3 linked regions of the Struthio camelus genome follow. The protein of the gene in region 1 purifies or fractionates together with the protein of each later gene. This does not show direct contact. Links are inferred from orthologs where the notes say so. Each region holds a gene or a part of one and is shown in the gene's direction. Other genes may lie near its edges.

The links. The genes of interacting proteins can lie anywhere in the genome.
Region 2: the proteins of ACTL6A (region 1) and BRD8 fractionate together in Homo sapiens (co-fractionation; 4 studies listed by BioGRID and IntAct, with this or other methods). This does not show direct contact. The link is inferred for Struthio camelus from reciprocal best matches to the Homo sapiens genes ACTL6A and BRD8.
Region 3: the proteins of ACTL6A (region 1) and SMARCC2 purify together in Homo sapiens (affinity purification with mass spectrometry; 8 studies listed by BioGRID and IntAct, counting the BioPlex papers as one, with this or other methods). This does not show direct contact. The link is inferred for Struthio camelus from reciprocal best matches to the Homo sapiens genes ACTL6A and SMARCC2.

Annotation. Positions count from the first base shown.
Region 1 is NC_090950.1:24,680,975-24,691,732, reverse strand, and holds the start of ACTL6A (actin-like protein 6A), read left to right. Parts: upstream 1-6,599; 5' UTR 6,600-6,770; coding exon 6,771-6,795; intron 6,796-6,916; exon of another isoform or gene 6,917-7,084; intron 7,085-7,471; coding exon 7,472-7,548; intron 7,549-7,763; coding exon 7,764-8,022; intron 8,023-8,541; coding exon 8,542-8,642; intron 8,643-10,129; coding exon 10,130-10,227; intron 10,228-10,758.
Region 2 is NC_090954.1:9,637,019-9,647,703, forward strand, and holds the start of BRD8 (bromodomain-containing protein 8), read left to right. Parts: upstream 1-6,169; 5' UTR 6,170-6,237; coding exon 6,238-6,256; intron 6,257-6,639; coding exon 6,640-6,736; intron 6,737-7,374; coding exon 7,375-7,444; intron 7,445-8,483; coding exon 8,484-8,533; intron 8,534-9,686; coding exon 9,687-9,809; intron 9,810-9,963; coding exon 9,964-10,044; intron 10,045-10,511; coding exon 10,512-10,576; intron 10,577-10,685. Other genes in the region: kinesin-like protein KIF20A, read right to left, coding at 402-566, 817-982, 1,064-1,207, 1,798-1,869, 1,971-2,082, 2,354-2,554, 3,273-3,417, 3,505-3,692 and 4 more. UniProt on the Homo sapiens protein: May act as a coactivator during transcriptional activation by hormone-activated nuclear receptors (NR). Isoform 2 stimulates transcriptional activation by AR/DHTR, ESR1/NR3A1, RXRA/NR2B1 and THRB/ERBA2.
Region 3 is NC_090969.1:553,040-563,534, forward strand, and holds the start of SMARCC2 (SWI/SNF complex subunit SMARCC2), read left to right. Parts: upstream 1-5,979; 5' UTR 5,980-6,041; coding exon 6,042-6,152; intron 6,153-6,350; coding exon 6,351-6,470; intron 6,471-7,847; coding exon 7,848-7,933; intron 7,934-8,293; coding exon 8,294-8,375; intron 8,376-8,460; coding exon 8,461-8,553; intron 8,554-8,639; coding exon 8,640-8,709; intron 8,710-8,944; coding exon 8,945-9,014; intron 9,015-9,161; coding exon 9,162-9,237; intron 9,238-9,337; coding exon 9,338-9,469; intron 9,470-9,719; coding exon 9,720-9,835; intron 9,836-9,991; coding exon 9,992-10,116; intron 10,117-10,285; coding exon 10,286-10,345; intron 10,346-10,495. Other genes in the region: RNF41 (E3 ubiquitin-protein ligase NRDP1), read left to right, coding at 245-380, 952-1,055, 1,647-1,998. UniProt on the Homo sapiens protein: Involved in transcriptional activation and repression of select genes by chromatin remodeling (alteration of DNA-nucleosome topology).

The DNA of each region.
Region 1 (10,758 bases):
GGCAGGTTCAAAAACGGTCAGTGGAGTAGAGACCTCACTAATATACAAAGGTAACATAAACTCGTTTTCCTAAAAACACTGATTTAAAAACACCTGAGACTTGCCTACATTAGTTCTCCCCCACCATGAGCATCCCTAGACACACTTAGAAATTCTATCTCCAGTTTCCTTAACTGTTCATAGAAAACAAGTACCATGAGTGATGATAAAACTCTTTTTCCCCTTAAAATTATTCGATAGTTTAGAAGTTCATTCAAAAAAAAAAAAAAACAAAATACCAAGATTGATGTGGGGCGGTGCTTTAATATGCTGCTTATATCCTGCTAGAAATAACATCCCTGACCACCCTCCAGCTAATTTTCATATAAAAGAACAAATACTGAAGATTATCCACACGTATAACACGACATGTCAGGACTCAAGGAAAGCTCACCATCTGCAGTTCTTGTCAAGTGCTGCACTACACCACACCTTTTCCCGACAACATTTGGAAACACCGATTCCTCACAGTTTCACTTGCAAGAAAGACGTCTTGGGCCTCTCGGTTACAATTCTGCTGCACTGAAATAAAAGACATCGTAACAGTTTGAAAGTGGCAAGAGAGGAGAATCAGACTCCATGATAACTGTCTAAATGGAAAAAAAAAAAAAAAAAGGACTAAGAATGCGCACGTGATATAAAATCAGGATTCTCAGGAGAGTTATTAAAAATGCCATGAACTTATTTGTTCCAGCAATTTCAATGACTAGCATCATATAATGCAAAGATCTTATCTAACTTACCAAAGACTTTTTAAAATGGAGCATATTAATACAGATGTGTGTCAATGCTGTAATTGAGCAGCTCATACGTTTGAACAGTAGGAGCAAGACTGCCCTAGAATACTGATTTTCTGTGAATAAAGATTCAGATAGCGCATTGCAACCCTAAACTTCCCGGTATAAATTGGTGTCTTCTGAAAAAAGCATATCCTCTTCTGTATCAGACTTCTTGCTGCAGCGCAATTGCATAGCTCTATGTACTCATTTTGGATGACTGGTACAACAAAGTATATACTTGTCATAGTAATGACCTGAATGAATTCAGGAAAAATGTGATAATCTTTTGTGTCTACGTGCCTATCCAGCAAATACGTTCCTCTTTCCTCAATGACATTCCATTTAATACTTAAGTTTATAATCATCTCTCTTGTGATACAGTAATAAGTAAATCTAGAAAATGACATCAGTATCTTGTTTTTTGAAGCCCAACAAAAATAACGCTACTCTAGTCTGTGTTCTAACCCTGCTACATTGATGCTGATTTCCAAAGTCTTTTGCCCCCTGCTTTGCCTATGCCCTCTCCTGGTGGTAGAACAAATACCAACAAACATACATACTTGGTTACACCAAAACTTCCCCTTCAAAAGACACGTTTCCAGATGTCAAGTAAAAACAGCTTTCTGTGGTAGAACAGGCCAAGAGTTCAAGCTTAATTTGGTTCCAAAAAGATAACGTTAAAAAGTAACATGACTCTGTAAAATCATCGATTCGCACCACAGCCCTACTTAAAGGATCGTATTATTTCACCCCGTAAAAAAACGCATAAGCAGAAATAGGGTCTCAGGGCTCTTCTCTTGCAGAGTCAGTTAACCAGCAGACTCTCCTTCTGGCTTCCTTACCTCTGGCTACACAGAGCCATAATTCTTAGCTCCATGATTTCATAGTTCAAAACCGCTAGTGAGAAAACACAGCGTTTCCCCCTCCCCCGGGAAGCTGGGAATAGGAATTTGAACCTTGTGAGGCTGAAGACAGAGCATCTGCCCAAGAAACAAGAGACCTGTGCTCCATGCTACCTGCTCAGCTATTATACTCAAGTCTCCCTTCTAGCAGGGGATCAAAATGCCCTATATAACGGTAAGGCTCAGTTGATACAAAGAGCTACTGTTTATCAACATAAGCTGGCTCCACAACTGTAGGTGGCTTTGTTTGTGCAGTACTTGTTGTGAGATACAGTGAGCCAGCTCAGGTTTGGCCCAGCTGCCAAGCTAATAAGCCCTGCAAGAATCCAAAGAGACTGCAGAACAAGCGCTAAGCCTGAAACAGTAAGTGCTGCCAGACCTGAGCCAAACTGAGATGTCTGAACACAAGGGACTCATTTGAGAAGGCGATACAGGCACACTTCAGAGGTTCTGGCCAGAGCTGGCTTAGCCCAGCACACCTATTACCTCAGGATCAGTTCCAGGCAAGTACTGCTCTACCATCTTCAAACCTAAGCTGCCTCTGTGAGTTTGTACTGCGTTTGAGCTAAACAAGGCAAGCGGTCCAGAGTCCTCCCAGCTGGTTTCACAGGAACCAGTTCAGGCTCAGAATAACGTAGCAGCATTGCTATTATGTGGGTTTTTTTCCCATTCTCCAGGGCATCCTAGCCCCTATTATTCCAGCCAGAGCCAGCTGCAACCTCAGCATGCAAGGCCATTTTTTTCTCTGAAAACTAGTCAGGCTCTCTACCACTGACGGAAAGTTGACTGTTTATTAATGGCAAGCACCATCACCTCTTCCTTCAATCATGTTCTAAAATGACAGTGAGTCACGGGCCTTTTACAAAAGGACAAGTTAGACACCAGCTCCAAAAGGGGATTCTGGGACATAGCTCCCTATGACTCCCTAGCTAACATCACAGACAGACTTCAGACATACTTCCTCTCTTCAGCACTTTCTACCACTCAACTCAAATATCCTGTGGAGTGATTTTCCTGTTGCAAATCCAGTTTTAAGGCACCTGCCTCTCTTTCATTTTGGAGGAAACATAATACAGAACCCGGATTCCTATCGTTGAGCAAGGCACCTAAAGGCCAGGTGTGGCAATGCTGAGGCCCCTTAGTGAGACTTAGCGTTTAGTTTGTGTTCTAGTTCTCTCTCTGCAGAATGAGGGTGATAGTGTATTTATTCTCAAAACATCCCCGTAAGAAAGGGAAGTATTAAAGTTGAAAAACACCCAAACACGTTAGCAATCAAAGTGAGAAGCTGAGAGATCACATAAAGTGACTGAGTGAATGAATATTAATAATTGTTTGACTTTTTCATCTACAGATGCTTTTATAGTTCACATAAACATCTAAGACCTCCTCTGAAAATTAGAAAAATAAAACCTTTAACATGCGTTTTGCAATCAAGAAACAAGGATGAAGACAGACATTATGAATAACCCGCTGTCACCATCACTCTGCTGCCTGGGACATGGACTGGCAGTTGTATGACACTGTTCAAAAAGAACAGGCCACTGGCAACCCAACAGGGATGAGCAGCTTACTGAGAAACAAAAAAAAAATTCTGTTCAATTTTGGCTTGAAATTACACCATTTTCTACATTGCTTTATATTACCAGAAAGGTTCAAGCACATGCTTGAAACAATTACGTATTAACAAAGTTAAAAAACTCAGACAATAATCAAGAAGCTCCAGAGTCTCCTGACTACCACTGATGAAATTAACTTTTGATTACTAGCAAGCATCATCATTTGGGGTCTTTATTCATGCCCCACTTCTAAGATGATCATTCTGTTTATTCCTGCGTGCCAATTTATGTTAGTGTCTGACTCCAAAGTTATTATATACAATGTCACATACAGTAAATCAGTATGCGGTATCACCATGAAAAGCAAGTAGTGTGTACCATACCTACACATGCAACCACTGCCGAGATGCTATTGCCATTTGTACCAATACGGGAACTTAGATAAAATACATTTAATGTTTCCATTCACTGTTATTCTCTAATCCTTGCTTCTGAGAAAACTATGCAAAAATGTTTTTAAACAAGAATATTTAGGTATGTTATAGTCAGCAGTGGCAAAATTCTAGGTTTTACCTACTCTTAGGCAAACATAGGATAACCTGAAGGAATTCTGTGAAATAAGACGTACACCTGAAATAAGACGTACACCTGAAATAAGACGTACACCTGGTAAGCAAGACCAGACTCTGCTGAAAGATGCTTCGAGTCTATTTCTCTATTGCCTTCTCTACTGCAGATACTCACACTGTTGTAAAGCAAATGCAGGCACTCTAAAACGTAATTAAACCACAGTGATGACGTTCTACACACTCTTTCCACTGATGTAAATGCCTACAAAAGTGCAAGGCAGTGAGAAGTCAGACCTAGACAGTTTACAGCCTAAATATCCCTTCCCAAATCCTTCTAGCTTCTTGAGGATTACACAGGTTTGGTTTCATATCCTGGTGCTCTTCTAATCCTGAGGCTGCCAAATATCAGAATGATCTTTAGTGAATACTACTTGGCTTGCTGCTAACAGTCCCCAGCGGCCACTGTACTGGGGACCGTTAGCGGCAAAGATTAGTCAAGCACAGGCACATCCTCTCTCCCCACCACACACTGCCACGTGCCTCTTTACTCCGCCACGCGTTTTCTGCTGGTATCACCAAGAATTCTTCTATATTGAAGAAATATTGGAGAAAAGGAAAGAGGCACAGTACTGCCTTTGTTTCTGGCATGCAGATCAATCATCAGTAGCTCTTGTGCAGAGCAAGATCTGGCCCAAAGCGTCAATTGGCATAAGAATACCATGAACGTTATTACAATAATAACCAAAGTACAACCACAAGCTAAATGAAGATCCTCCGGTATTTTAATGCCGAATTTTCTGAACTGATTTTCCTAAGAGTAATTAATTCCACCTCCTCAAACAACTCTGCCTTGGGTATTAGTGCCACATACTGGAAATCATGATAATACATTAACATTAAAAGATTTTATAAGACAAATGTGAGGTGCACTGACTTCATCTGGTACAGTTAGTGCAAAAGCAGGATTTACATCTTTCTTCCTAACACTAGCATCTCTGTTTTGTAGTTTTATGATATTGTGAGTTATGTCAAAACTACAAATTTCCTACTGTCATGAAAAAATTATGAATTTTGCTCATTAAAGAAACAGAGAATCAAACTGCCTGTCAAATTAAATTACTTACCCTTGAAAGCTATTATGTCTAACCGTCTCCTGATTTTCTCATAACTGCATTAAAAAAAACCCAAACTTGTTGTCTCTTACTGTTGGATTTTAGCATTTGTGTTGTATTTTGGTTCACAAAGAGACTTAAGGGGAGACTGTTAGTCAGCACCCTACCTTTAACTGCAACAGATTGGGAGCTGTAGTCAAAACACACACATTTAGCCTGCTCTTTTCCTTCACTAGCATAAAGTTTGCTGAAATCTGCAATAATCTGTTCTATTCACAACAGCTTCACAAAACCTCTGAAGTAATATGCCTGGGTGTACCAAATGTAAATGTTCTATTTCTTCTCATTTCACTGATCAAAATTGAAATGTTGCTAAAGTCAAACAAAATAAGCAGTGTAAATAAAGAGTGAGAGTGGAAACTCAGGCTACAACTTAAAAAACCCCAAAGCTTTGTAAGAAGTACTAAACTACCTATCAAAATAAGACTAAGCAGGACTCCTGCACTAAGCAGAACTTTTTTTGCTTAAAGTGAAAATATAAGAAACACATTTTTTCATGTTTATAGTCCAATAATTGTTACTGTGATCACTCATTATGCTCTGCAATACTTGGTAAGTAAATGCAAAGATAATAAATCAAATGCCGCTCTATTATGCTGATCGTACATAATCATGCCATCTGAGTTCAGTATCCTCCTGCAGGATTCAGAAATAAACTACACATCCTATGTGAATTTGAAAAGAGCATCCATGACTATAAAGTAGGCCACACACACACACACAAAGATCAGCCCTCACCTCCTCCAAAATAACCCACGCAGGAATTCAAAAAGGTGCACACCAAGAACGCTTGTATTTTAAGCCGATTTCCCTACTCTTAAGCTTTTACTTTTCTCTAATACTAACCTCTGGTATACCTCAGGTCTTTTTCTTTTATCAACTTCCTACAACTTTCTAGCTTCCCCTCTCTGGTCCTACTGGTCAAACGCCAAGTTTGGCTGAATGCTTTTGACACCAAACAAGGCAATCTCTTCTCCTAATTACAGGTTCAGCTATTTAACAGGCAGCCGAGCTAGAAAATCAAAACTGCTTAACTGGCCAGATGAGCTAACCTCAGGGGCCAAGCTCTGAGGTGCAAAGGAGTGCCTCAGGCAGGAGAGGAAGAGCATGGTGTTGCCGTACCAGTACATACTTCCAGCGCATTTTATTCCCGGTTGAGGAGCCCTAAGGAGCAGCGACCGGAGCCGGCGGGAGAAGGGCTCAGAGAGGCCCCGCCCGCAGCGACCGTGGCGCCCTTCCACCGCCCCCGCCCCGGACACCCTCTACCCACCCCACCGCCCGCTACCACCCAACCCCTCGTGCAGGCAGCATGCCCACCCCGCTGGCCCTCGGTGCGCCTAGTCGCCTTCCCCGCCTCGCCGGCCCGGCCCGGCCCCTCCTCACACGCAGCCCGCGGACGGCCCTCTCCTCACACGCCTCCACCCCCGCACGCTGCACCTACGCTTGCTCGCTCGCTCGCTCGCTCGCCCGCCGCTTCCCGCCTCAGGATTGGCTCCCCGCGCTCTGGCCCCGCCTTCCGCCGGCTCCGATTGGCCGCTCTGCCCTAGCGGCCGCCGGGCAGGGCGACGCGCGGTAGGCGGGCGGGCGGCAGCCGCGCTCCCCATTGGCGGGAAGGCGGCAGGCCGGCGGGTTAGGCTGAGCCCGCCGGGGGCGAGAGGGGCGAAGGCGCTATTGTTGCCGGATCGCCGAGGAAGCCGGCGCGGCGGCGGCGGACACCGGGCCCGGGGAGCGCGGCGCGGGCCCAGCGGCAGCCATGAGTGGCGGCGTGTACGGCGGAGGTGAGTCCGGTGCCGCCTCGCTTGTCCGCCCCGCCCCCGCGCGACCGTTGAGCTCGGCGCCGTCCCGTGAGGCGGCGGCGCGTGCGCGCCTCCCCCACCTCCGCCCCCCCCCCCCGCCTCCGCGCGCCGCCCCGGCCCTTCCCGCCCGCCCGGCGGCGCCCTCAGGCCCCGGGCGCCGGAGGCCGCGGCCCGGCTCTTCCGCCGCGGTGGGGGGCGCCAGCATGAGCGAGGAGGAGGAGGCGGCGGCTGAAGGCCTTACTTGTATCCCTCCCGGGGTCGCGTCGCCGAGGTACTTTGTCCTGCGACTAGCCGAGGCGCGGCAGCGCCGCTCGGGTGGCCTGGGCAGACCTGGCTTCGCGTGACTTCACTGTTTGAAAGCTCCGTCCTGTAATCCGTGCAGATGCAGCGACGGTTTCTCTCTCCTGTTGAAGTGGCCGTTTTTACTTAAGCCGAAGGAAGTTGCTGTGGCGTCCCAGTTAAAGCCTGTTGGCGGTCCTGTAGTCGCTCTCCAGAAACCTGAATTCTGAATAGACAAGTTTCTCCTTGCGTTGGAAATAGGCCTTGACTTGCTTTTCTCTTTTGCCGGCCAAATGGACAGGAGGCAGGGCAAAGGCAGGTCGGGGTTGTAATGGAGTGTAATAATCGTTGACTCTCTCTGTATTCACAACATTTACAGATGAAGTTGGGGCTCTTGTGTTTGACATTGGCTCGTATACAGTGAGAGCAGGCTATGCGGGTGAAGACTGTCCAAAGGTGAGAGTTTGTGTGATTGAAATATAACATAAAAACTAGAACTTACCTTAGAACCGGTTAAAATACCAAAACCACCAAACCTGTTAGTTGACGAGTTTCCAGAATACATTGGGGTCTTTATTTTTACTAAGGTGTATAATGAAAGGTCTGAATTTTATGAACCGTCCTCCCAAAACATGAATAATGTTCATGACTATTTACCTGTTGCCTTACAGGTGGATTTTCCAACAGCTATTGGTGTGGTGCTAGAAAGGGACAATGGCAGCACTTTGATGGAGATAGATGGTGACAAAGGCAAACAAGGGGGCCCGACTTACTACATAGACACCAATGCCCTGAGAGTTCCACGGGAAAATATGGAGGCCATTTCACCCTTAAAAAATGGAATGAGTATGGTGCTCTGTCTTCTTCTATCTGTTCTTAAAATAGCGTTACTTGGGCTGCAAAAAAACATAGCTTTCACAGAAGAAGTTGGTATGTGCTTAAGTGTTTCTCTTTTGGGGGTTTGGAGAACAGGGCCTAAAACGAAAGAATCTGCTTTCCCTAAAGAAATTTGGATAAGACAGTAAGCATTTGTCTGATGTAAGGGAAGGCTTGTAGGCTTCTTTCTTATTTGTTGACTTGGATTTAAATTTTGATAAAAGGAGAAAGAGGTAATTTATGGAACTAGGTTGGAAGCTCATTCCTGTACTGTGTGTAAGTGGAGGCTCATCCTAAGACCGTCATAAGAACAGATATCTGATGCGCTAGTTGCATAAAGTGTAGCTGGTTTATGATGTTGATAGATTTTTAGCATAATTCTGAGTATGTTATGATCATGATACTTATAGAGGAATAGAATTTTGCAGAGCTGTTAAAGGAGGAGTATGTCTTTGAGTATAGCCTTGGACTAAAGAGCTTTAGGAAAAAAAGAAATCACAGAACCTTTATGTATGCGTGAAGTGGAACAAAAGTTAGAAGTAAACTAATCTGCTTGCTTCGATGTTATTACAGTTGAAGACTGGGATAGTTTCCAGGCAATTCTGGATCACACATACAAGATGCATATTAAATCTGAAGCAAGTTTGCATCCTGTTCTAATGTCTGAAGCACCAGTGAGTAGAAGCAACTTTGCGTTTTTGAAAAGCTTTAACTGCATCTTCTTGCTAAGTTTACAAGCATTAGTCTTCAACAAATCTGATGCTGGCTTGTAGATTACGAGTATTAAAACTTACCTAGGGAAGTAACCATTTTAAAGTACTTTTCCAGATTGTTGGAAGTAGTCTGTTTAAGAAAAATGGCTAAAAAAAAAAAGCCAGTTTGAAATGCTTTCTGTGACAAGGCACCGAAACTATTTACCATGTGCTATTGTTTTTTTAACTTACTGAAAAGAAGCAAAAAAACAAGTTTCACTTTATTCCCTGGAGTAAAAATGAAAACATGTTAGGACAATAAAGTTATACTTAGTAGAGTGCCGTTGGAAATCTGTCACTGCCTTTAGCCCACCAACTAATATTACATGACAGAGAAGAATATTTATAATGAAGAAATTTTAATTTGTCTCTCTTCATTTCTGTAAAGGGCCTTGTAAGGCGAAGTGGACGAATCCAAATTTCTCTTTGGGAAAAACAAACAAACAAACAAAAACCTCACCCTCTTGTTTGCTTGTGGCAAGCATTCGAAGGACAGATGTTAAAATCTGAATACAAGATGTTGGCATGCCATACTGTAGTTATGCCCTTCTTTAATAAAATCTTTGAGTAGGATTTGCTTTATCCCTTTATATGCAGTTGAAGCAGGCTGATGTTCTTGAGATGAATTCTTGGTTACAGTCCCTTGGACTTATTAAAATAGCTAAAAACAAAAACAACATCCACCCCGCCATGATTTTCATGCACCACCTGAGGAGGTGGTTGTACCTGGCTGGAGTACAGATGAATTTGCGGCAGTTATTGCCTGTTTGATGGCTCTATGGGTGTCTCAGTAAAGGTTTCCATTAGAATTCCCCTCACAGAACTAATCTTACTTCGAATCATTGGCATAGAAAGAAAGACTTTGCTTTTTCAGTGATGTGCGGAATATTTGAAATATATCCTTGCTTAATCACAAGTACAGTAGAACTGTAGGAAGATACCTTAAAAACAGGCAAATCTGGATTTATTTTTCTTTCAACCAGGCAAGTTATGTCATGTATCTTTCCCCTGTACAATGGGTGTTACTTGTTTTAGATTTTTTTGAGAGACTGATGCTGGAAGATCTCTAGAAGGGTGAAGGACTCTTTCTTGTAACTGTAAAGTTGTATATGTCTTACCCTGCTTATCAGAAGTCTTCCTGTATTATTAAGTTGCTGCTCCTTTAATTTTGTATAAGAGATAAATATTAATGTTTTTGTCATAGAATTGGAATGGAAAAGATTCTAAGTAAAATTCTAGCAGTCTATCTGCATAGAATTTAGATATGATTTGAAACCATGGTTCTAATAATTGTAACTGTTCATTTTGTTAGCGTCCCTTGAACGTGCTCTGATGATCCTCAGGATAAACATCTTCATTTTGATCACTTATTTGTGTGTATGTGGTTTTTTTTCTTCTTCTTTTTCTAGTGGAATACTAGAGCAAAGCGTGAAAAACTAACTGAATTGATGTTTGAACACTACAACATCCCTGCTTTTTTCTTATGCAAAACCGCTGTTCTAACAGCGTATCCTTTGAAATGTTGAGCCTTTTTTTTCCCCAAGAAAAGGTGGTAAACTTATTCTAGATAATTCCTAGTAAAACAACATATCTAACCATTTTCTTTCAAATTAATGTTTCCGTAAACATCTAGGCAGGAAGGAAACAAATTCCATTTCTGAACTTGAGCCTTAGAGCTCAGTTTTGAAGTCCTCCCAGTCTGACTGTCTTGCATGGAGGCAGTGTCTTTTTTCATTGTATACCATGATAATAATATTAGACGTCTGAAATGGCGTTGTCCTGACTCCTAAATACGGTAATGAAGGCTATAGGAACTTCAAACTTTAAGTTGAAATTTGTAGTTATTTTAGACTGATAGAATATGAAGCTGAAAACATGTTAAGTTGGATGTACTTGGAGCTTGCTGCGTAATATTAACTTGAGTTGTCACTTTTTTATGTCCAGCGTTCCAGTTAGTTTACAGATAGAAGGTAACCTCACAGAGAGAACAGGATTTATGTTCACTTTTGTAGAAAGAAAATGGCAAGTCCATTCATAA
Region 2 (10,685 bases), on another chromosome or scaffold:
TCCTTCTCTTGATCTTTCAGCTAGTCCAGCTGCCCATGCTGAGCATCTAGAAAGCTTGCTCATTTTTCCTCAACTAATTTAAGCCATCTGTTTTGCTTTCTGACCTCTAGATTGTCCTTGTGTAGTAGAGATTATGGGTCTGCAAGTGAGCTCTTACTGTCCTATTCCACAGATGGCAACGTTTTTCCAAATTAAGCATCAGCTCCAGATTTTGAGCAACTCCTGAATGTTTTCTTCATGGATTCCCAATTTCCTGGTCTAAGGATCCCATATCCTTTTGAGGTTCTCTTTCATCTCACTTTATTTAGTGCTGAGCTCCAGCTCCACCTCCCAGAACAAAGCTAACAAGTCATGTTCGTGCCCCTCTATCCATAAAGGATGTAAAACGTACCACTGCTCACCTCTTTCTCATAAATGGCGATATCTCCTTCATCCTCACTATCGTCTTCTGTATCTACTTCTTCCTTTGCCACTGCCTCTGGACCCTGGCTGGTTCGCCTGCTGTGCTCTTTAATGATTGATTGTATGGATGGAAGTCCTACCTTTGTGGGAGGTGCTTGAACAAGCTGAAGGGAAAAAAGTCTACCATTACTTCAAGTCCACAAAACCCGTAAGTCATGTAGTCTTTAAAAGTGGCGCTTTTCTGCAGTTTGTCAAACCTCTAAATTTGGCAGAATCTGGAGAAACTGTGGAGGCAATAAGCCGCTGGAGAAGCTTGGGGAGGACTTGTAAGCATCTCCCCTGCCTTGCGATGGAAAGGGCCTCATTCCCACAGAAGCACAAAGTGATGCCATGATCCTGAGGTGTACTACTAACCTGGCTGGCAATGGCTGAAAACTTGGCTACGTACAAAGTCTCATCATACGTAGATGCACACTGGTTAATGTTGACAATCATGCAAGAGCGCCCACGTCCAGTAAAGAAACCCTGGAACACACGGGTTAGCTTGCTGTCCCGGAAGGGAACCACAGTCTGCTTCAATCTATGGGGAGAGACAAGAGTGAGCCTATGGGAAAGCACAACAGCCTCCCGCACACTCTTCTGTGATGTCTTGGATGCTTACTTTGACTGCTGGTTCTGGCGGAGGGCAGCAATGCAGCGGCCCAATGTATGCAGGGAAGTGTTGATGTTGTTTGCCTCTTTCATTCGGTCCCCACTTTTCTGGTCCTTGCAGCGCTCTGAACCCGCAAGGTCACACAGGGATAGCCTGAAGAAAACGCAGGAGGTACTACATGACCCTCTGGGTTTGCCCTGTTCTACCCAGCTTTAGAAGTCAGACACCCTGTGCTCATGTAACCGTGCTCACCCTCCCAGCTTCCTTAGAGCACACGAGCACCTTTGCAGTATAGGCTACTGCTGGATGGTAAGACCTACCCTAATTGTAGGGCTTACACAAGGTAATACCAAATGAGCTCAGTGGTGCTAAGTTTGAGGATCATCTGCCAATCTTCAGGACAGCCACTTTCCAGGTACTGAGTCAACTTATTTCCAGATAACTACATGCCAGGAACAGGCATCAGCAGCAGTCAAATCAGTTCCAGTACAAGGGCAAAGCTACCCACGTTCACCTTTATTCAGAGAGCCCAACAACTACCTCAGGTTGTACTTTGCAGTGCTCCTCACAAACACCTTCCCACTATCGATTCCAGGACTTATAATGGGAACATTTACTCCTTCCAAGTACTTTCATCTAGACCCACCTCAAGATATTTCCCATACCAGCTCCATAACCACAGCAGAGACAGGAAAGTCGAGTCCACCAGAAAAAAACCTAGCCCTAAAGGGCATTGAACTTACTCGCTGATTTTGGGAACAATTTCACTGCCACCTCCTTGCAAGTGCAGAATCCGAACAGAGAAGATACTGTGACTGTAAGAAGAGGCAGATATTTAAGAAAAGGAAGCATGGCCTGTAGAAGCCCCTCAGAATTGTACGACTCGGTCTAAACCCACTGTGTTCCCACCCCTGACCTGCGACTGGAGTTCTGGTTCATGTGAGTACTAGCAAAACTCTGGTTTTTCCGACCCAGTTTCAGGAGCTTCCAGGCCTCATCAGCATCACGGACATTGATCCAATTTAGATCTGGACAAGTAGACATGCATTGAGAAAGTCAGTTAGGAGACTGGCAGAGAAATAATTATCTCAGCCCAAACTTCACTATTGCATTTCCTTGGCATTAACAAACCTCGTTTCACCCTACCTAAATATCAGAAACCTAGGGGCCACAGAGAACATTACGCTCCCCAGCACATCCGTGCTAAGCCACTTGCTCACTCCATAAGTCTCCCTCAAGTATGATCTACCCGGACCCACCCCTAGTGAACCACTAAGCATATCTTTCAGGCAAATCTACCTTTCACATAGGGGTTGCCAGTCTGGTCTTCACAGAGTCGCAATGTCTGCCTCTTGCGGTTCTGACCCGGTAGAGCTGCTTCTAATAAGTCATAGATTAACTCATTGTAAATCTCAAAGAAGGAGACCCAGATGGAGAACTGCACATCGCTTTTAGTGGTGAGTGAAATACGATCCAGGTCAGCCCAGCGAGGGCCCGGTTCTGGGGAAGAGTAAGAGGAAACAGGTATGAGTGCAGACTTTCACAAGTCCAGCCTGAATGGTTTAATTAGAGGCTAGGGTATCTTTCCTTAGCAGGAACACTATCCTAAACCGAAATGTATTCTATAACCCCCTGCCCCCGACCCAGACCTCCTCTAATGCCTATAAGCCAGCCAAATACTCTAAGCTTCCCTTTAGTGGCATCCTCCTTTCTGTATAAGGACTTTTTATGTTTGATCTCCAGTCTAGAAGTATAGGATATCTTAAACAGGAGCCCTTCCTGGCATAAGTGAAGTTATACTCCTGGTTACCTCGATGACTCTGTGCTTCTGGATATCTGATCAGCTAGTAGTTCCTAGATTTGACAGTCTGGGCACAAGTGCTCACTGCAGCCTGTCACCTTAGACAGCCTGCTTTCCCCCTATCCCCATAGCATGATGCTCAGCTGCTCAATAAGCTTATCTATGAACGAAGTAAGCAGGTGCCAAGTAATTTTTCATTTGACAAGGCTTTGTTACTAAACCATAGTCAGCCCTTCATATACTAACAACACATGCACAGTCAAAGTTCTTCAGCACAGAGATTCTCAGCTTTCCTCCAAAAAATTCTTGAGACTGTAGAATCTTCACTCCCTTACACACCAAATAACAAGCATTCCTTTCTTCCCATAGCCCCCAGTAAAAAGAAGCAGGTAGTGCACAACAGGCTGCCAGATGTACCTTCTGTCTGGCTGACGTCTGAATGGTTGGTAAATTGGCTAGAGGAAGAGAGGCCAGCAACTCCGCTGTCAAAACTGCCACTCGTGGTGGCCTGAAGCTGGGATTCTGCACTGTGACTCCTCTTCAGTGGTGTTAGCAGCTCCTCCTGCAAGAGGCGAAGAACATGAGCCTGCAGTACAATGCCGTCACTTCCCTATTCTTAATATAAATAACCTAGAAGGAGCATGCTTACCTCCCACAGACCCCCCTGCAGCAAGGTCTGTTTCTTGGTCTCTTCCTGCCGAATCTGCCTGCTGTCCAGCCACATCACCTCATTGGAGAGCGAGGGCTTCAGATCCATGGCTTGATACAGTCGGTCCCCCACACTATTGAAGATGACTGCCAAGGACCGAGGCAGAATCCCACCATCTTTACTGGTACCTGAAAGAAAGAGCAGCCACAGCAAGCTGAGGACTCAGTACACACACAGAAGCAGATAACTCCTTTAACAGGCCCTGTTCTTCTTACCCTGAATAGTGTGAGTCTTCCCTGAATTGGTGATGCCATAGGTGTAAACTAGCCAATTCTGCCCATTCAGTACATCCTTTACCACCTGCTTCATTGTGCTATCAAAGAACAGCTTCTGCCCCACATCTGGCCCAAAGATCTGCAAACGAGACAGGAAGGAAAATAGCTAGCCTCACGTTGATCTTTCTTATCTTCTGACTGACCCTTGTTTAAGTGATACTACACACTACTACTGTCCCTTCCACTTGCCCCACACCATAAACATAGACCCAGCAATCACTCCAGGCTAAGCACCTGCAAAAACAAGCTGATCATTTCAACAGCTGCTAGTGTATTTACAGCCCCATGGGGGAGGGGGGGGAGAGAGAGGGAGAGAGAGAGAGAGAGAGAGAGAGAGAGAGAGAGAAAGAGTTTGGCATTTGCTGCCAAAATGGGTGGCAGGGTCAGCTTTAAAAAAAAAAAAAACTTCAGTAGAGAGGGTTGTACAAAAGAACAACATAACTCACACAGTGCATTGGTATCACTGCTCATTAGCAACTCAGCTTTTCTAGCTGTAACACTAGTGTAAGCTCAGAAAAGTTCCAGAAGGATTGTTTGTCCCTACCTGGGTGAAAGTGAATCTATGCGCTGCTTGCCCTACTCCGCGTTCTGTGCTCCGCATGGTGAAGGAGTCCTTGGGGGCTTTCAGAAGAAGAGTCTCCGAGTTCTCAATGCAGACACAAGCCTGAAAGACCAATTAAATCCCATCACTGCAAAGGCTTACAAGAGGCCATGGCACAGACAGCAAAGGATGGTAGCTCCTCCAGGCAGGCACAGGCAACCAGCTCAAGGTGTGCTTATTTCAGTGTCTTACCTGATCTTCCCCTTTTTCTAGCTCTGTAGACTTCAGAGGTCGAACTCTGAGATACACCTTTACTTTCCCATTACTGTCTTCAGCTACAGCCTGCAAAATCAAGACAGTTTAGATGTGCTAGCCAGAGGCCACACAACCATCTGTTAGACTCGGAATGCTAATGGGAAGCACGGCATGGAACACACCCTGACCTGCTTGCTGCTCAGCAGCTAGTGCTTCAGTGGTCTCAAGAGCCCCAGAAACACCAGAAAACAAGCTTCCTTAGGCATTTTGAGGCACCTTGACATTCATTCCGTGCATCTAGTGAATCAGACCAACAGTCCAAAGAACTAACACCGAAACCAGCCAGCCCCCAGATCAAGCCTCATACCAGGAGGCACCTACTGGTTCTGGCCTACAGAGTACACTCTTCACAACAGAAGCCACTCCCAAGGGGGGCAAGATCTTCTCTAAAAGCAATGTTTTGTTCTAACCTCCTCTGAAGGGCCTCTGTCGGCCCTGTATTACAGCACCTTTTTGCAGAGACACAGCAGTCACAAGCCAGGACACTATCCTGTTTGTGGGAAAAGCGTTCCAACCTCACCTGCTGGGAGCCCCCAAGCTCTGGAGAGATGGCAGAGAACTCTGACAGCAAGTCCTTGCGCACATCAGCCCCAAACCCCGTTGCTGTGGATTCAAGAACAGGGGAGGCTGCAGCCTCGTCATCAGAGAACAGCCCTGGGGAGAGGAGTGCCTGGGCCATGGCGTCTCACACAACTCCTGGAGAAAAAAGGGGCACAGTGGAAACAGGGTGATGCTACAGCAGCCTTCAGGAGCCCAAGCTTCGCTTTTCACAAACACCCGCCATGCACAGTCCACCGCGCAGCCGCTCAGCACACACCCTCCCACATGGACACACCCCTGCATGCACACACGCACACCACCATCCACACATACCACCACAGGACCCCCCCCTCCACACACACAGACCGCCATGCCAGACCCCCCCTCCACACAGCCCCACACGGAACCTCCTACACAACTACATACACCCCCTCCCCACCATGCAGGACCCCTCCCTCCCCCTCGGGCAGGACTCTCCTCCCACCCACATACACACACTGTGCAGGATCCCCCCCAACACAGACACCCCGTACAGGACCCTTCAGGACCCCCCCACACTCAAAAACACCCCGTGCAGGTCCCTCCCCCCTAAACACACACACCCCGTGCAGGACCCCCCCCACCCACATACACACCCCGTGCAGGACCCCCCCCCCCGCATACATACCCCACACACACCCCCCAAGCAGGATTCCCCCCCCCCCCCCACCGGGAGACCGACCCCTTCCCCCACACGCGGCAGCGCTGGGCCGCAGCGGCTCGCGCCCACCTCGCCTCCGCGCGGCACCTTCTGTTAGGGGTTTCAAACCTCGCCGCACGCCCGCTCCGCCAATGGGAGCCCGAGCCTGCGCGGCCGCCAATCACCGCCCGCCGTGCCGCCGCAGGGGCGGGGCCCGCCCGCTCGGCCGCCAGCGCGCTCGGGGGGGTGGCAGGGGGCGCGCGCGCCTCCCAGCGGGCTTTGCGCGCTGCTCCGCCCTGCCTCCCTGGGGCCAGGCGGGGAAGATGGCGGCGGGCACGGGCAGTGAGTGTGGGGCTCGCCGTGAGAGGCAGGGACGGGGGAGGGGGGGAGTACGGCGGCGGGGGAGCGGCGGCGGCGGCCCGTGGCGGCGAGGCTGGGGCGGGGACGAGGACGGGGACGGGGAACGACCCGAGTAGGGTCGAGCGGTTCTGAAGGGAGGAGGCGGGGCCAAAGGGGCTCGCGAAAGGGGCGGGGCTATGGCTGTGGGGCCCGGGAGGGGCGGGCCGAGGGGCCCGGGACTGGGCGGGGCCGTGGCTGGTGGGGGCGGGGTGGAGCGCCAGCCTGGGGGCGGGGCCGGGGGCGAGGCGGGAGCCGGGGGGTGCCCGGGTCGCGGCGGGCTGCGCACGGGAGGTGCGAATCGGGGGATTTTTCCCTTCTGCCGGCAGAGCACAAGCTGCTGAGCGCCGGCCCCACAGAGCCCTGGTCCATCCGCGAGAAGCTGTGCCTGGCCTCGTCCGTCATGCGGAGCGGGGACCAGAACTGGTAAGGGGCTGAGCAGAGCCCAGCGCGGACCCCGACGGTGGCCCTTCCTGGCGCTGCCTGGCCGCACGCGGGATGTACCCGCACCGTAGCGGCTAGGCTTCACAGAGCAAAGCACGGATTCGTGTTGTGTTGGCATGTTGCGTTTCACCACACCGTTTGGTTGTGCACTGGCTGGTCTTAAAACATTCTGCTTTCTGTGGACTTTCTGTTCAAAACAAACGTGGAAGTATTAGACACGTAGCTTGAAAATCTTTGTTCTTATTTTCTAACTACTTTGTGAAAACAGAAGTGTGTTAATTAGAAGAATGAAAGAATAGCATGTTTATAAATTGGATGAAGTGACCTGACTTTACCAAAGTAAAGTTTTTGTTGTGGAAACTTAAAAGTGTCCTCAGAAGCTAGAAACTTGCTTTTCAAAGCAAAGGAGGGGGTGTATTTTTGGCAGTAGGCAAATATTTTTGAGTTCTAAAGTTGTCCTGGAATAATTCCCAAACATAACAACTCTATCTAGACCAGTTCAGTGCAGTTATGGGGACTGTTCAGAGTGGTGAATATCGAGACAGGTTAGCACCATTTCACTGCATGTTGGTCAGGGTACAAAAGTAGGTGGACAGTGGCTCACGATTTCTCTCCTGTAGGGTCTCAGTCAGCAGAGCTATCAAACCTTTTGCAGAGCCAGGCCGCCCACCTGACTGGTTTTCCCAAAAGGTAAGATACCGGCTTTTGCATCTTGCGGAAGATGAGTTATCCATTGGATATACACGACAGCTGCTTAGGAGACTGTTGTTTTTGTTTGTTTTTTGGTTAAAAAAAAAGGAAAAAAGAAAAATATTTTTAATAAGTTTTATGCTTAAGTTGGATTAAATACCTTTTCCTGTTTCTGCAGTTAAATTTGAGCTTACAGCAGAAGTTGGAAAAGGTTCATAAAAAGACAAGAAGGGTGATCAAAGGCATGAAACAGCTTCCATGTAAGGGACAGCTCAGTAAGCTAGAACCCTTCAATATGCAAGAAGGATGACTAACAGGAGATACAGGAGAGATGTTTGTAAAATCAGAAATGGCATGCTGAGGATGAATAAGGATTAATTGTTCACTGCCTTATCCAATACAAGGGTTAGGGGACATTAAATAAAACTAACAAGAGGCAGATTCAAAGCAAACATGCATGGCACGTAATTAAGTTGTGGAATTCCTAGCCACTGGAATTTGTCATTGCCGTTGTATTATATTGTATTTTGGTGCATCCAGCTGTTGGGGCAGGCATCAGAGAGTTTTGTGATATAAGGACCAGAAAGAGATTAAGACAATCAAGGAAGGAGGAGTCTTTTTTTTTTTTCCTATGTTGCTCACTGTTTTCTTAGTGCTGTTAAACTATGAAACTAGCCTTGTTATAACGCTACCTTTTCTTCTGCATTGAAAGATTTTTGGTGCATGTTCACAGAGGGAAGCATAACAGCTGCAGTTCCTCCTCGTGCTTGCTTTCTTTGATTTGTAAATTGTTAGTTGGGAACATCTCTTTATTATTGTTTTGAAGGTCAGCCTGGGCAGTCCTAGAGTAGGGAGGGAATATGCTTCCTCATGTTGAGGTACATTAAATTGTAATTATGGAGGAACCTGTGGGAACCTTGTCAGATATGTCCAGAAAGACCTCTGAAGGAGGAAGAATAGGTGCCCTGAAGGCTTTGTTGATAATCGTTTGCTGATGGTGACTGTTGGGTGTCATCTAACTTTCTTTCTTTCTTCTTAGCACTGTGCCTCCCAGTATTCAGAACTCTTGGAGACTACAGAGACCCCTAAGTGAGTACAAAGTCTGAAGCGAGGGCTGTCCCTAGCAATTCTGGAGGAACTTGTCAGTTCTTACAGCAAAGCACTTGATAGTAGTTTGCCCAGGAGGAGCGTACAGGGATGAAGAAATTCAGTTGTGATAGCTGGCTTGGGCAGGCACTGTGATTAGGGTATGGCAGATGTTGAAGACTGACTCAAAGGGAAGAGCAGCTGGGAAGCAAGCCTAAGGTATTCCTTAGAATATCCTTCCCATATTTTTATCTGGTCTGCTCTTTTGAAAGACTGAAGTATTTCAGTAGTACCTGATTCTAAAATTGGTCACTGTGTGCTTGTTCGTGTCTTCCTCATACCCCTCCTATCATTACAGTGCTAGTACATGGCAAGGTATTTGGAGTCTCTTGGCGCAGGTACATTTATGCAAGTTGCAATATGCGTTTGGGGAGGTAATGCAGCAAACAGGAACGTTTATTTGCCTGGAATAAAACCCTACATATTCGTCTTACTAATCAGAAGATCGTATACATAAAATTAGACAAAAATACATAAAATTACACAAAAATAGGTAAAATTATAGTTCAGAATAAGGAGAAAAAAGTAGAAAACTAGTAGAAGTGAGGTGAAAAGTTATGACTGTCTTTACTTTGCAATGGTTTCAGATAGTTTTCTTATCAGTGTTACCACTGCAGCTTCATGGTGTCAGATACTTCTCATCCTGAGTTGAAGCATATTGCGTAGGGACCTGGCATCAAATTAAATTAAAGGCGAGTTGTTTAAAAGAAGTGTTTATGTAGGATAGTGCTGAATGAACATCAGTAGCAGTGTTATAAAAACAAAGGGCCTGGTAGAGTTGTTGAGAAAAAGTAGATGTTTCATCACAGATAGAAAGAAACTTCTCTGAAGTTGAAGGCTTGATTTGCAGATTGAAAATTTGAAATGGGCTTGCATCTTTGGTCTTCAGAAGTCTTTAATATTGGACACATTTAATGATTGGAACTTATCAGAAGAGATTGTTTCAATATTATGCCTTCCAATGTTATTTGAGGGAAATTGAAAGAGGAGGTTGATTTTTGTGGCAGGAATGACAGACAACAGTCATTTATGAAAGGAGAACTGGGATTTTCTGTGGTTCATTCCTGAACTGTTTTATTTTTCTCTTTTTCTACAGGAGAAAGCGTGGTGAAAAGGGAGAGGTTGTTGAAACTGTGGAAGATGTTATTGTGCGGAAACTGACTGCAGAACGAGTTGAAGAATTGAAGAAAATGATTAAAGAGACGCAGGAGAAATACAGGTATTTGGTAGAGGCATTAAGCTGTGGTGCAGCTGAAGGCTGTGTCTTGAAGAAGTGGCGTGGGTGAGGAGGAGCACGGGGTAAAAATATGTGGAACAAGAGCTGCTTAGGATTTATTGTTGAGTGATCAAATAAGAAGATTTTCTGATTACAGGCAACTCAAGAAGGATGCGGAGCTGATCCAGGCTGGACACATGGATAATAGACTGGAGGAGCTGTGCAATGAGATTATGATGTGGGTTATTTAATTATTTCCTCATTACACTTGCCTCTGAGTTTGTAGTCCCCTGACGCTTTGTGCCTGGCAGAGTTCTCTTGCTCAATGCACTTAGGGCTAAGAGATACCAGATAGCAGGGCAGATGCTTTGGCTTCTAAGGGTGGACTTAATTTGGACTGTGGGGCACGAGCTTATGGGGAATGTGTTTTGGAGTTCTGAGTGAAGAGCTTGGTGATGGCTTGCGACACCACGCTTGCTTCCTCTTTTTTAGTAGTCAGCTGGAAGTGAAGCTTTTTGCAAAGTGTGTCATACTCTAACTGGCCTCTGACTCTGCCTCCCTCCTCAGAGGGATTGAGCCTGAGCCCGCAAAGGCACTTCATTATCGCCTAGAGATTATGGGGCAGGGGTCCATAAGCTGATTGTGCAAGAAGAACTAAAGGGCAGCAGGATGCCGTGTGACAGTAGGCTCTGGTTCTTTATGCAGAAAGAAAAAAATGGAGGAGGAGGAGGCAGAAGTGAAGAGGAAGGCTACTGACGCTGCTTATCAGGGTAAGCTGGGAATGTGCTTCCTTACTCTTCCTCACAGAAAGAACATTTGGGAATTATTTCAGTCTTGTTAAGATCTGTTCAAGAAGAATTCCTGTACGCTAGGCGTAGC
Region 3 (10,495 bases), on another chromosome or scaffold:
AACCCATCGCCTGCCTACCGGGAGAGACCTATGGGACCTATGCCCATTTGGTTTAAACTCTGAGGTATGATAGTGAACAGACCTTCTAAAACATGTTCAAGGTTACAGCTCTGAGCTTTCCAGAGCTTCTTGCAAGTCCTCCAAGGCTGGCTTTCTCCTGGAAGTTGTTCATAGCTATGCCAGGTGCTCTGATGTGTAACTTTTCCTAACGCGAGGCCTCCACTGTTTTTGTAATGCTCTGCAGCTTGGAAATGCCCAAAGATGAGCTGCCAAACCACAACTGCATCAAGCATTTAAGATCTGTGGTGCAGCAGCAGCAGACGAGAATTGCTGAGCTGGAGAAGACTTCGGCAGAACACAAACATCAGCTAGCAGAGCAGGTAGCTCCATGTGGGCGAGGGGTTGACTTGCAGCGGGGTCTCTGCGCTAACATCCTCTTGGAGGGTCAGTCCTACCTTTTTAGATGCCAAACGCTGAAAATGGTTTGTGCGCAAAGAAAGCGGCTGCAGGGCAGACAACTGAGAGCAGCCAGGCCCCTGCTGCCGTTCTGCGGCTCTGCTGTTCTTGGAGTCCTTTCCTTGCTCAGCATGTGGAGGGAAACCCAGGACTCCCTCTCCTGCCCTGCTCTGCCCTTTGCAGGTCAAGGCAGCCCAGAGTTTTGAGGGTATCCCCATGAGTGATCGTTACTGTGGCTTCACTGCCTGGTGGCTGAGCCTGACAACCCAAGTAGGGCAGTGCCCTCGCTCTGACCCAGCGGCAGAGCGAAACCTGCCCGTTCAAACACCAGCTTCCCCTGAAACTGGGGAGCGCCGAGAGCTCTGCTGGGGGCAGTAGCTCAGCGGATGGGCAGGGACGTGCTACTCCCTGCTGCTCTGCTGGGGTATGCTCTCGTGACTTCTAGCTGCTGCAGTGACTCCTTTTGCAAACCCTGCTGTGTCCTGCCTCTTTTAGAAACGGGACATTCAGTTGCTGAAGGCCTATATGCGAGCCATCCGCAGTGTCAACCCTAACCTGCAGAACCTGGAAGAGACCATTGAATACAATGAAATCCTGGAGTAAGTACTGGTTCTCATGCTGCTCTAGGAGAAGGAGGGGAGCCCTGCATCAGTGAGTGGAGCTGAGCCTCTGCCAGCTTAACTGACAAACGAGAGGAGGAGGAAGTGCCTTGCCAGGGAAGGGCACAGTTTGAGAAGAAAATGTGTTGTCTTGTTACAAAAGCAGGGGGCGGGGGGCAGTTGCAGGGATGTTTGCGCTAGGGAGCGGCATGTGAGCTGGTTGCACAATGGGTTCTGATCGTTTTTAGTCTTCCATCTGCATCCTGTTCACAAGCAGGAAGCTGCCAGGTTCCTTCCTCCTTGTGAGAAAGGCTGGAGGAAGTGACTTCTCATCTGATCCTTTCTTCTGTTCCCTTTTGGGAGTTAAAGGCTCTGTTCAACAAAACTGAATGCGACAGCAAAGGGACCTGCAGGGACTGCTTGTGGGGGTGGGGACAGAGGAGAGGTAGGTGGGGGGAAAAGAGGTCTTTACCATCCAGCCCAGCTCCCAGGCACAGAGCAGACCAGAGGCAGAGGAGCTCCTCAGTTTCCGTGACAGCCACCTCTAATGTGTGGCCCTGACAGTCCGCTTGTCCCTGTCTCCCCAACCAGGTGGGTGAACTCCCTCCAGCCAGCCCGGGTGACGCGGTGGGGCGGAATGATCTCCACTCCGGATGCAGTGCTGCAGGCCGTCATCAAGCGCTCGCTGGTGGAGAGCGGCTGCCCCACATCCATCATCAACGAGCTGATCGAGAACGCCCACGAGCGGAACTGGCCGCAGGGCCTGGCCACGCTGGAAACCCGCCAGATGAACCGGCGGTATTACGAGAACTATGTGGCCAAGCGCATCCCTGGCAAGCAGGCCGTGGTGGTGATGGCCTGTGAAAACCAGCACATGGGTGAGGACATGGTGCTAGAGCCAGGACTGGTGATGATATTTGCACACGGAGTGGAGGAAATATAAGGACTTTCAAAGCAAGAAACGCTTCGTGCTGACAAGGGGAGAGGAAGGAGAAGGTGAAGAGGCAGAAGGGACTGGGGGAGTAGCTGGTCAAAACCACTGGTGTTCCCTAGCCGCCTGTGTGGTTTTGTTAGAGCCTTATCCCCTTGAGCCTCTTGCTTCCTAGCTGAAATGATTAAATGCCTCTGGTAAATACTACTTAAAACACTTGGCCCAGCAGTGAACACACAGTGCAGCCCATCCGTGTTTGCCCCTTGCAGATCAGCTTCTACATGCAATGTCTTTCCAAGGGGGGAGAGGGAGAGAAAGCACAACTGCTCCACTGAATACCGCCAGACTCTTCAGACCCAGCCTGCGTTTTGGATGCTACTGCCTCCACCAAAGCCCTGGCTCTTTGTGCAACCCAAACTGAAAGGATAAGTTGATCTCGTTGTGGACCGGCCCCATGGCCACTGGTGTCTCTCTTGTTTGTCCAGTGGCTAAATCCTTCTTGGGCTTTATCTCCCTCTCTGGATTCCTCCTGCCTCACTCTTAAAAGGTTTCTCTGTTGCTCTTTCTTCAAGTCTTGCCTCCTTCCATGCCTGACTGACCACACAGTACCTTAACAGCAGGATTTGCTCCCCAGCCTCTTGTGCTGGGCTGGGGAGGGGGCATGGGGTGGGGAGAGGCAGCCCAGGAGCAAGTCCACGAACAGAGCTGTGAGTAGTGCCCCAAAGCAACTCTCGGAAACCTAAAGGCAGCTGGAGCCAAGGCAGCTGAGCTGCTGAGAGAACGAGCCTCCAGCGCTGGTGGAGGGCTGGGGCCTTCCCCCGTGCGGGAGAGACTCTGCGTTGGAGGAACCAGCCTTTCAGATGGGCTCCCCGGCCCCTGGATGCCACCGTCCCTTCAGAACTGCTCTGGCCGTGCCGCCCTCCTGCTGCCGTCGCTCCGTGCGTGCCCTGCGCTGCCGGCCCGGCCCCGGCTCCCTCTGCTCTCCGGACAGGAGAGCCCGGGCTCTCCCAGGCTCGTCGTGCAGATGCTCCTGCCCGAGCGAATGGCTCGTGGCCGCCCAGGCATCTTGTGCCATTTAAAGTTGCCTCCACGCGTTGTCCTTAGCCCTAGAGAAACGGTCCTGTCTGTCCTGTGTGCATTGAGTGTTCGCGAAGAGCTTTCTGTACTGTTACTGTTGTTACTTTTCAGACACTTGTGATTGTGGTTCTGTATTTTTTGTACTTTTTTGGCCTCTCTTGTTTGTATACCCCCCCCTTATTTTATTTTTGAAGTACCATGGACAGGCACCTCAGAACCTGGTTACGTTTACTTGTTGGGAATTTAATTTATTTGCATTTGTTTTGTTGTTTTTTACAGTACTTTTTCTCCTCCTGTGTCTGTGTTGCTCAGATACGGTTTCATCAGCTCACTCCTGTGCCCGTGTGGGCTACTGTGAGGCAGGGATTTAAATAATCAATAAACAGCGTTCTGATTGCTTTACATGGGGCTCGGACAACATCCTCACTGCCGGGATCGGGCGTCTCTGCTCCTCCTGGGAGCTCCAGCTGTCCCTGCTCACCGGGAGGAAGAAGCCAGGAGAGCACCCGTGTATTTTGGTTCAAGAGAGTTCCCTTTCCCCTTCTCTGTTGCCCCTGCAGCAGCTGTGTTTTTCGCTGGGAGCGAGCGGAGTCGGCGCTCTCCCAGGGAGGACGCGTGGGCGCACGCCAGCCTCGGAGCTCGGGTAGCTCTCCTGCAGCGGCCCCAGGTCCCTTTTCCCTGCATGCATCCCGCTCTGCGCCAAGGGGCCTTCCCGGCAGCAATGCTTCGAAGGGGCCGGAGCAGGCAGAGGGCACCCGGAGGGATACAGAGGGGAGAGGAGGCTGCTATGGCTGTGGGAAAGAAGATTTCCCCACATCCAGCTTCTCTCCCTGGCCCTGCTGTGCCCGACGCCGGGGAGCCAGATGCACGATCGCTCCCGCTAGCCCCGCGCGCGGCCTCGCTCTCCCCCTTTTCCTTGTGGGCTTTCGCGTGCTCAGTGTCGCCCACCGCGAGCGCCCAGCTTGGCTTTTGCTCCGCTGCGAGGCGTCCCCGCTGCTGCCGGGCTCTGCCTCCCTCCCGGCCCTTTCCCTCTCCTGCACGGCTCCAGCCAGCTCTTGCGGGGCGTTTCTGGCTCTTCCGCGGCGGCTCTAGGGCCTGCTGTCACTGTGGGTTTGTATCCTGTATTTTTAACGCAGCAGGAATGTTTTCTGGCGTGGGAATCTGTTGTCCGAGGTGGTTTGTACTTGTTTCGGTGTCTAGATGACGCCCTGTTTGGAGGGGCCAGTGGCGGGGGGGGGGGGTCCTCCAGCCCGGTCCCTTGTGCTCAGGAATGTGACAAAGCTGCTAAATCCAACAGGAAAACTGCACGCGCGGAGCCGCGACGGCCGCTGCCTGTGCGCCCGCTGGTTCTTTTGTGTCGCCTGCGCGACATAAACCGCCGTTCCCGGATGCTGCAGCCTGTCGTCGCTCCGGGCGCTTCTCTCCGCCGCGGGGACGCTGTGGGCGGCTGCCCCGGCTCCGCGTCCTCCCTCCGCGACCGCTCCCCGGGCCTTCGCCGGGGTGGGGGGGGGGCAGCACCCCTGAGACGGGGCTCTGCTCCCCCGGGGGTGTCTGAGGATTTGGGACCCCCCCCGGGGCATGGGGGGGGGCCTGCCCCCCAAGCAGGAGCAGCCCCCCCATAAACAGCTCTGCAGCCGCCCCAAAAGGTGTTGTGCCCCCCCCCAGCAAGGGCTCCCCCCACCCCAAGAGGGGTTGTGCCTCATCCATGCAGCACGAGCTGCCCCTCCCCATCTTCAAAAATAAAAAGCGGGTACCGGGGGGGAGGGGGGGGTTTTGACAGCATCCCCCCCCCCGAGACCCCCCAGCTGCACCAGCCCCTTTTTCGGGCCGGGCCCGGGTGGCCCCCACAAAAACAACCGTCGCGTCACGGACAGGATTCGAACCTGTGCGGGGAAACCCCATTGGATTTCGAGTCCAACGCCTTAACCACTCGGCCACCGTGACTGCCGCGCCTGCCCTGCGCCGCGCTCCGCCTAGACGGCCGCCGCCGCCGCTCCGCCCCGGCCCGGCCCGACCCGCTCGGCCCCGCTCGGCCCGGGGCGGCGGGGGCGGCGCGGACCGGGAGCCTCCAACACCGGCCGCCCCCGGCTCCTCTCGCCCCGGCCGCTCCGCGGGGCCACCCGACCCCCCCCCCATCCCGCCCCGGGCCGCCAGGGGGCGGTAACGGCCGGGGCTCCTCCCACCGCCAGGGGGCGGTAACGGCCGGGGCTCCTCCCACCGCCAGGGGGCGGTACCACCTCGACTCCTCCCACCGCCAGGGGGCGGTACCACCTCGACTCCTCCACCGCCAGGGGGCGGTACCGCCATCGGCTCCTCCCACCACCAGGGGGCGGTACCACCTCGACTCCTCCCACCACCAGGGGGCGGTACCACCTCGACTCCTCCCACCGCCAGGGGGCGGTACCACCACGACTCCTCCACCGCCAGGGGGCGGTACCACCTCGACTCCTCCCACCGCCAGGGGGCGGTACCACCTCGACTCCTCCCACCGCCAGGGGGCGGTACCACCTCGACTCCTCCACCGCCAGGGGGCGGTACCGCCATCGGCTCCCCCAGGCCGCCAGGGGGCGGTACCGCCACGACTCCTCCCACCGCCAGGGGGCGGTACCACCTCGACTCCTCCCACCGCCAGGGGGCGGTACCAGCCGAGGCTCCTCCCACCACCAGGGGGCGGTACCATCATCGGCTCCTCCCACCGCCAGGGGGCGGTACCACCTCGACTCCTCCCACCGCCAGGGGGCGGTACCACCTCGACTCCTCCCACCGCCAGGGGGCGGTACCACCTCGACTCCTCCACCGCCAGGGGGCGGTACCGCCATCGGCTCCCCCAGGCCGCCAGGGGGCGGTCGCGCCCCCCCCGCCGCCAGCAGGGGGCGGTGGCGGCCGGTCGCGGCGGGGTGGGGGGGAGGGAGGAGGGAGGCGGTGACGGCGGCGGCGGCGGCGGCGGCGCGGCGCGGCGCGGCCCGGCCCGCTGGAAGATGGCGGTGCGGAAGAAGGACGGCGGCCCCAACGTCAAGTACTACGAGGCCTCGGACACCGTCAGCCAGTTCGACAACGTCCGCCTCTGGCTCAGCAAGAACTACAAGAAGGTAGGGCCGCCCCCCCCCGCCGCCGCCGGCCCCCCCGGCCTGTCACGGCCCCGCCGCGGCCTCCCCCGCCCGGCCTCCCTCGGGGCTGTCAGCGGCGGCGGCGGGCGGGCAGCCGAGGAGGGGGACCCCCCCCACCCCCGGGGGGGGGTACATCAGGCCCGGCCTGCTCACGCCCCCCCCCCCCCCACCCCGGTGCAGTACATCCAGGCCGAGCCCCCCACCAACAAGTCGCTGTCGAGCCTGGTGGTGCAGCTGCTGCAGTTCCAGGAGGAGGTGTTCGGCAAGCACGTCAGCAACGCGCCCCTCACCAAGCTGCCGGTGAGACCCCCCCCCCCCCCCAAACCCGGGGGATCGGGCCCCAGAGACATCCCCCCCCACCCGGCGGACCGGGCCCCAGAGACCCCTCCCCAAACCCCAGGGACATCTACCTCCTCTGGGGACCAGGCCCCAGAGACCCCTCCCCAAACCCCAGGGACATCTCCCCCCTCCGGGGACCAGGCCCCAGAGACCCCCTCCCCAAACCCCAGGGACATCTCCCCCCTCCGGGGACCAGGCCCCAAAGACCCCTCCTCAAACCCAGGGACATCTCCCCCCCTCCAGGGACCAGGCCCCAAAGACCCCTCCCCAAACCCCAGGGACATCTCCCCCCCTCCAGGGACCAGGCCCCAAAGACCCCTCCCCAAACCCCAGGGACATCTCCCCCCCTCCAGGGACCAGGCCCCAAAGACCCCTCCCCAAACCCCAGGGACATCTCCCCCCCTCCAGGGACCAGGCCCCAAAGACCCCTCCCCAAACCCCCAGAGACCGCCCCCCCCGGGAACCAGGCCCCAGAGACCTCCCCACCAACCACTCCCAGGGATTGAGCCCCAGAGACCTTCCACCACCTGGAGGACCAGGCCCCAAATATCTCCTTCCCGGGGAATGGACCCTAGAGATTCCCCCCTCACCCCCCCCTCCTGAGGGGCTGGACCCCAGAGACACCTCTCCCCCCCAACCCAGGCACCAGGCCCCAGAGACCCCCGAGGACCCGACCCCAGAGACACCAGTCACTGCACTCCCAAAACACGACAACTGTGCCCCAAAATCCCTCGGCTCTGCGCCCTCCCCCACCCTCCCGTCGAGCTTTGCACCCTGAAGACGGCCAGGGACTGCACCTTGGGGACATGGTTTGCACCCCAAAGAAACCCCGGGGCTGTGGCCTAGGGACGCCGGGGGGGGGGGGGCGTGAGCAGGCAGGGGGGGGGTCTGCATCCTGTTGGCCCAGGGCAGCGCCCAAAATGCGCCTGGAGACAGCAGCCCAGTGACCCCTGCGCTGTGCCCTGCTGACAGCCGGCACCCCGGTCTGTGCCGTGTCCCGCCGGCACCCCGGTCTGCGCCCTGTCCTAGGGACGCTGCTCCAAGGTGGGGGGGGGGAGGGCAGTGCCCCAGTGACCTCCCCCCCCGGGGAAGGCGCCCCGCCCTGACCAAAGGACAACGGCCTGACCATGGACAGCGCCCCCGGACCTGGGGACAGTGCCCCGAGACCACCACGGACAGCGCCCCGAGACCACCACGGACGGCGGCCCAGTGTGCGGGCACAGTGCCCCGATGTGCGGGCATGGCGCCGTGTCTCCCCCCCCGCCCCCCCAACCCCAGCTAACTGCCCTCCCGTGCCCCCCCCCCCACCTTGCCCTGACTCCTTTGCTCCCGCTGCAGATAAAATGCTTCTTGGATTTCAAGGCGGGAGGAGCCCTGTGCCACATCCTGGCGGCGGCCTATAAGTTCAAGAGCGACCAAGGATGGTGAGCCGCCCGCCTTTCGCCCCCCCGCGCGGGGAGGGTGGCCGCGGACCAGGAGGATGGGGGGCCGCAGGGGTGGGGTGGGAGGGCGTCACGTCCTGCTCCGTCCTGGGCCTGGGGGAGCGGGAGCGGGTCGGAGCCCTTTGTCCCCCTCGAGGGACCACGTTGGGGGTGCGCTCGGGCCCATTGAACGTGCCCACTTCCCTGGCAAGCGGGTGGCGGGGCAGAGTCCCCCCTGCCTCAGCCAGGGCCCCGCGGCGGGGCTCGGGTGCTCCCCTCCCTGTCCCCCAGGCAGGCTTTGAACAGCTGATGAGGAGACCTGAGCTGTGGCTTTCATGAGAGTCGCTCTTTTCTTCCAATAAGGCGGCGTTTCGATTTCCAGAATCCTTCGCGGATGGACCGCAATGTGGAGATGTTCATGACCATCGAGAAATCTCTGGTGCAGGTAACGGGCGCCTCCCCCGGCCCTCCGCTGCCCCTGGCCCCGCTCCCTCGCCCCTGCTCACTGCTCTGCTCTCTTCCTCCCCCAGAACAACTGCCTGGCCCGACCCAACATCTTCCTGCACCAGGAGATCGAGCCCAAGCTCCTGAGCAAACTGAAAGACATAGTCAAGAGACACCAGGTAGGTGGCAGTGCTTGGAGGGGGGGGTGGGCCTCATCCTGGTGCTCAGCCTCATGGCCTGACCACCTCCTCTGCTCCCCTCGCAGGGCACGGTGACTGAGGACAAGAACAACGCGTCCCACGTTGTCTGCCCCGTCCCTAGCAACCTGGAGGAAGGTGGGTGCCTGGTGCCAGCCTCTGCAAGGAGAGTGGCTCGGGCTGAGCGTCCGCTCTCGGAGAAATGCTGTGGGGTTTTGGGGTTGGGGGGACAGGGCTGAGCGAGGCGTCTCAGGGCCGTTCTTCCAGCAGAGCAGGGACACGGCAGTGCAAGCTGCGGCCTGGGGTTGGTGCTCGATGCCCCAGTCTGCCAGCATCTGGCACTGAGTTAGCTCCCTCCCTCTGTGTCTTCCAGAAGAGTGGGTCCGGCCGGTCATGAAGAGGGACAAGCAGGTCCTCCTGCACTGGGGCTATTACCCGGACAGGTGAGCAGGGCCGGGGCACCCCGCTGCTTGCGCCCAGCCCCGCTCTCCTGGAGGGGCTCCAGGATGTGGCTGACACCATGCACTGGCCTCCGGTGAGCGAGGCGTCCCTCAGGGCACCACTCTCACCCCTGCCCCTCTGCTCCCCAGCTACGACACCTGGATCCCCGCCAGTGAGATCGAAGCCTCGGTGGAGGATGCGCCGACGCCGGAGAAGCCCCGGAAGGTAATGGGGCCGCTGGGCTCAGACGGAGGCTGGGCTTGGCCCTCTGCCTCGCCCGCGCAGAGCCGGGTCTCCCTGACTTGCCAGCCCTCCTCTCCGGCAGGTCCATGCCAAATGGATCCTAGACACGGACACCTTTAACGAGTGGATGAACGAGGAGGACTACGAGGTGACAGATGAGAAGAGCCCCGTCTCCCGCAGGAAGAAGATCTCCGCCAAGACCCTAACTGACGAGGTCAGAGCCCCAGAGAGAGCTGTGGAGTGGGGGGGGCCTGCAAACGCGTGGGACCTGGCCTGGTGCTGGGAGGATGGCGGGGGTCCAGGGCGGGAGCAGGAGCTGTCCCATCCCTCTAAAAGGAGAGGACGGCCACTCCTGTACCCCTCAGTCCCACCAACAGCATTGCAGTTTGCCACCCAGCACGGCAGTGGTGCCCCCCAGCATGCCCCAGAGGGCAGTGACCCCCCGCCTCCTCTCCCCTCTCCAGGTGAATAGCCCCGACTCGGACCGGCGGGACAAGAAAGGGGGCAACTACAAGAAAAGGAAGCGCTCACCCTCTCCCTCGCCCACCCCGGAGGCGAAGAAGAAGAACGCAAAGAAAGGGTGAGGGGCTCTGGGGCTCCAGCTGACAGCTGGGATTGGCCCTGAGTCGTGCCAAGAGGGCTGGGGTCTTGGCATGACGGGAAGAGGGAAGCTGCCGGGCACCCCCTGCCCATGGCTGCAGCCGTGATGAGGGCGCATGGGGTCTCGCCTTGGCAGCCCCTCCACCCCCTACAACAAATCCAAGCGCGGGCACCGTGAGGAGGAGCAGGAGGATCTGACGAAGGACATGGACGAGCCCTCGCCAGTCCCCAACGTGGAGGAGGTTACTCTGCCCAAAACAGGTTAGGGCCATGGCCATGGCCTCGCCACAGGGCCTGGCACTCCTGGCTGGGAGAGGCCAGGCCTGGCAGAGCAGGGGGCATCTCGCCCTCCTCCTCGCCCGTGCCTGGGCTGGGGGAGGCAGGATCGCCCTTCTCCATGCACTCAGCACCTCTTTCCTTTCCGATGCAGTGAACACCAAGAAGGACTCGGAGTCTGCACCTGTCAAGGGGGGCACCATGACAGACCTGGGTAAGTCCAACCCTGTGTGCTGATTATGGGGGGGGGGGGCGGGGGGGGGGGGGTTGCGCATTTAGGGGCTAAGTGCTGCACAGGCGTCCTCGGCCGGGGTCTGGCAGTGCTGATACCGCCCTGCTGCCTGGGGCTGCAGCTGGGCACCGC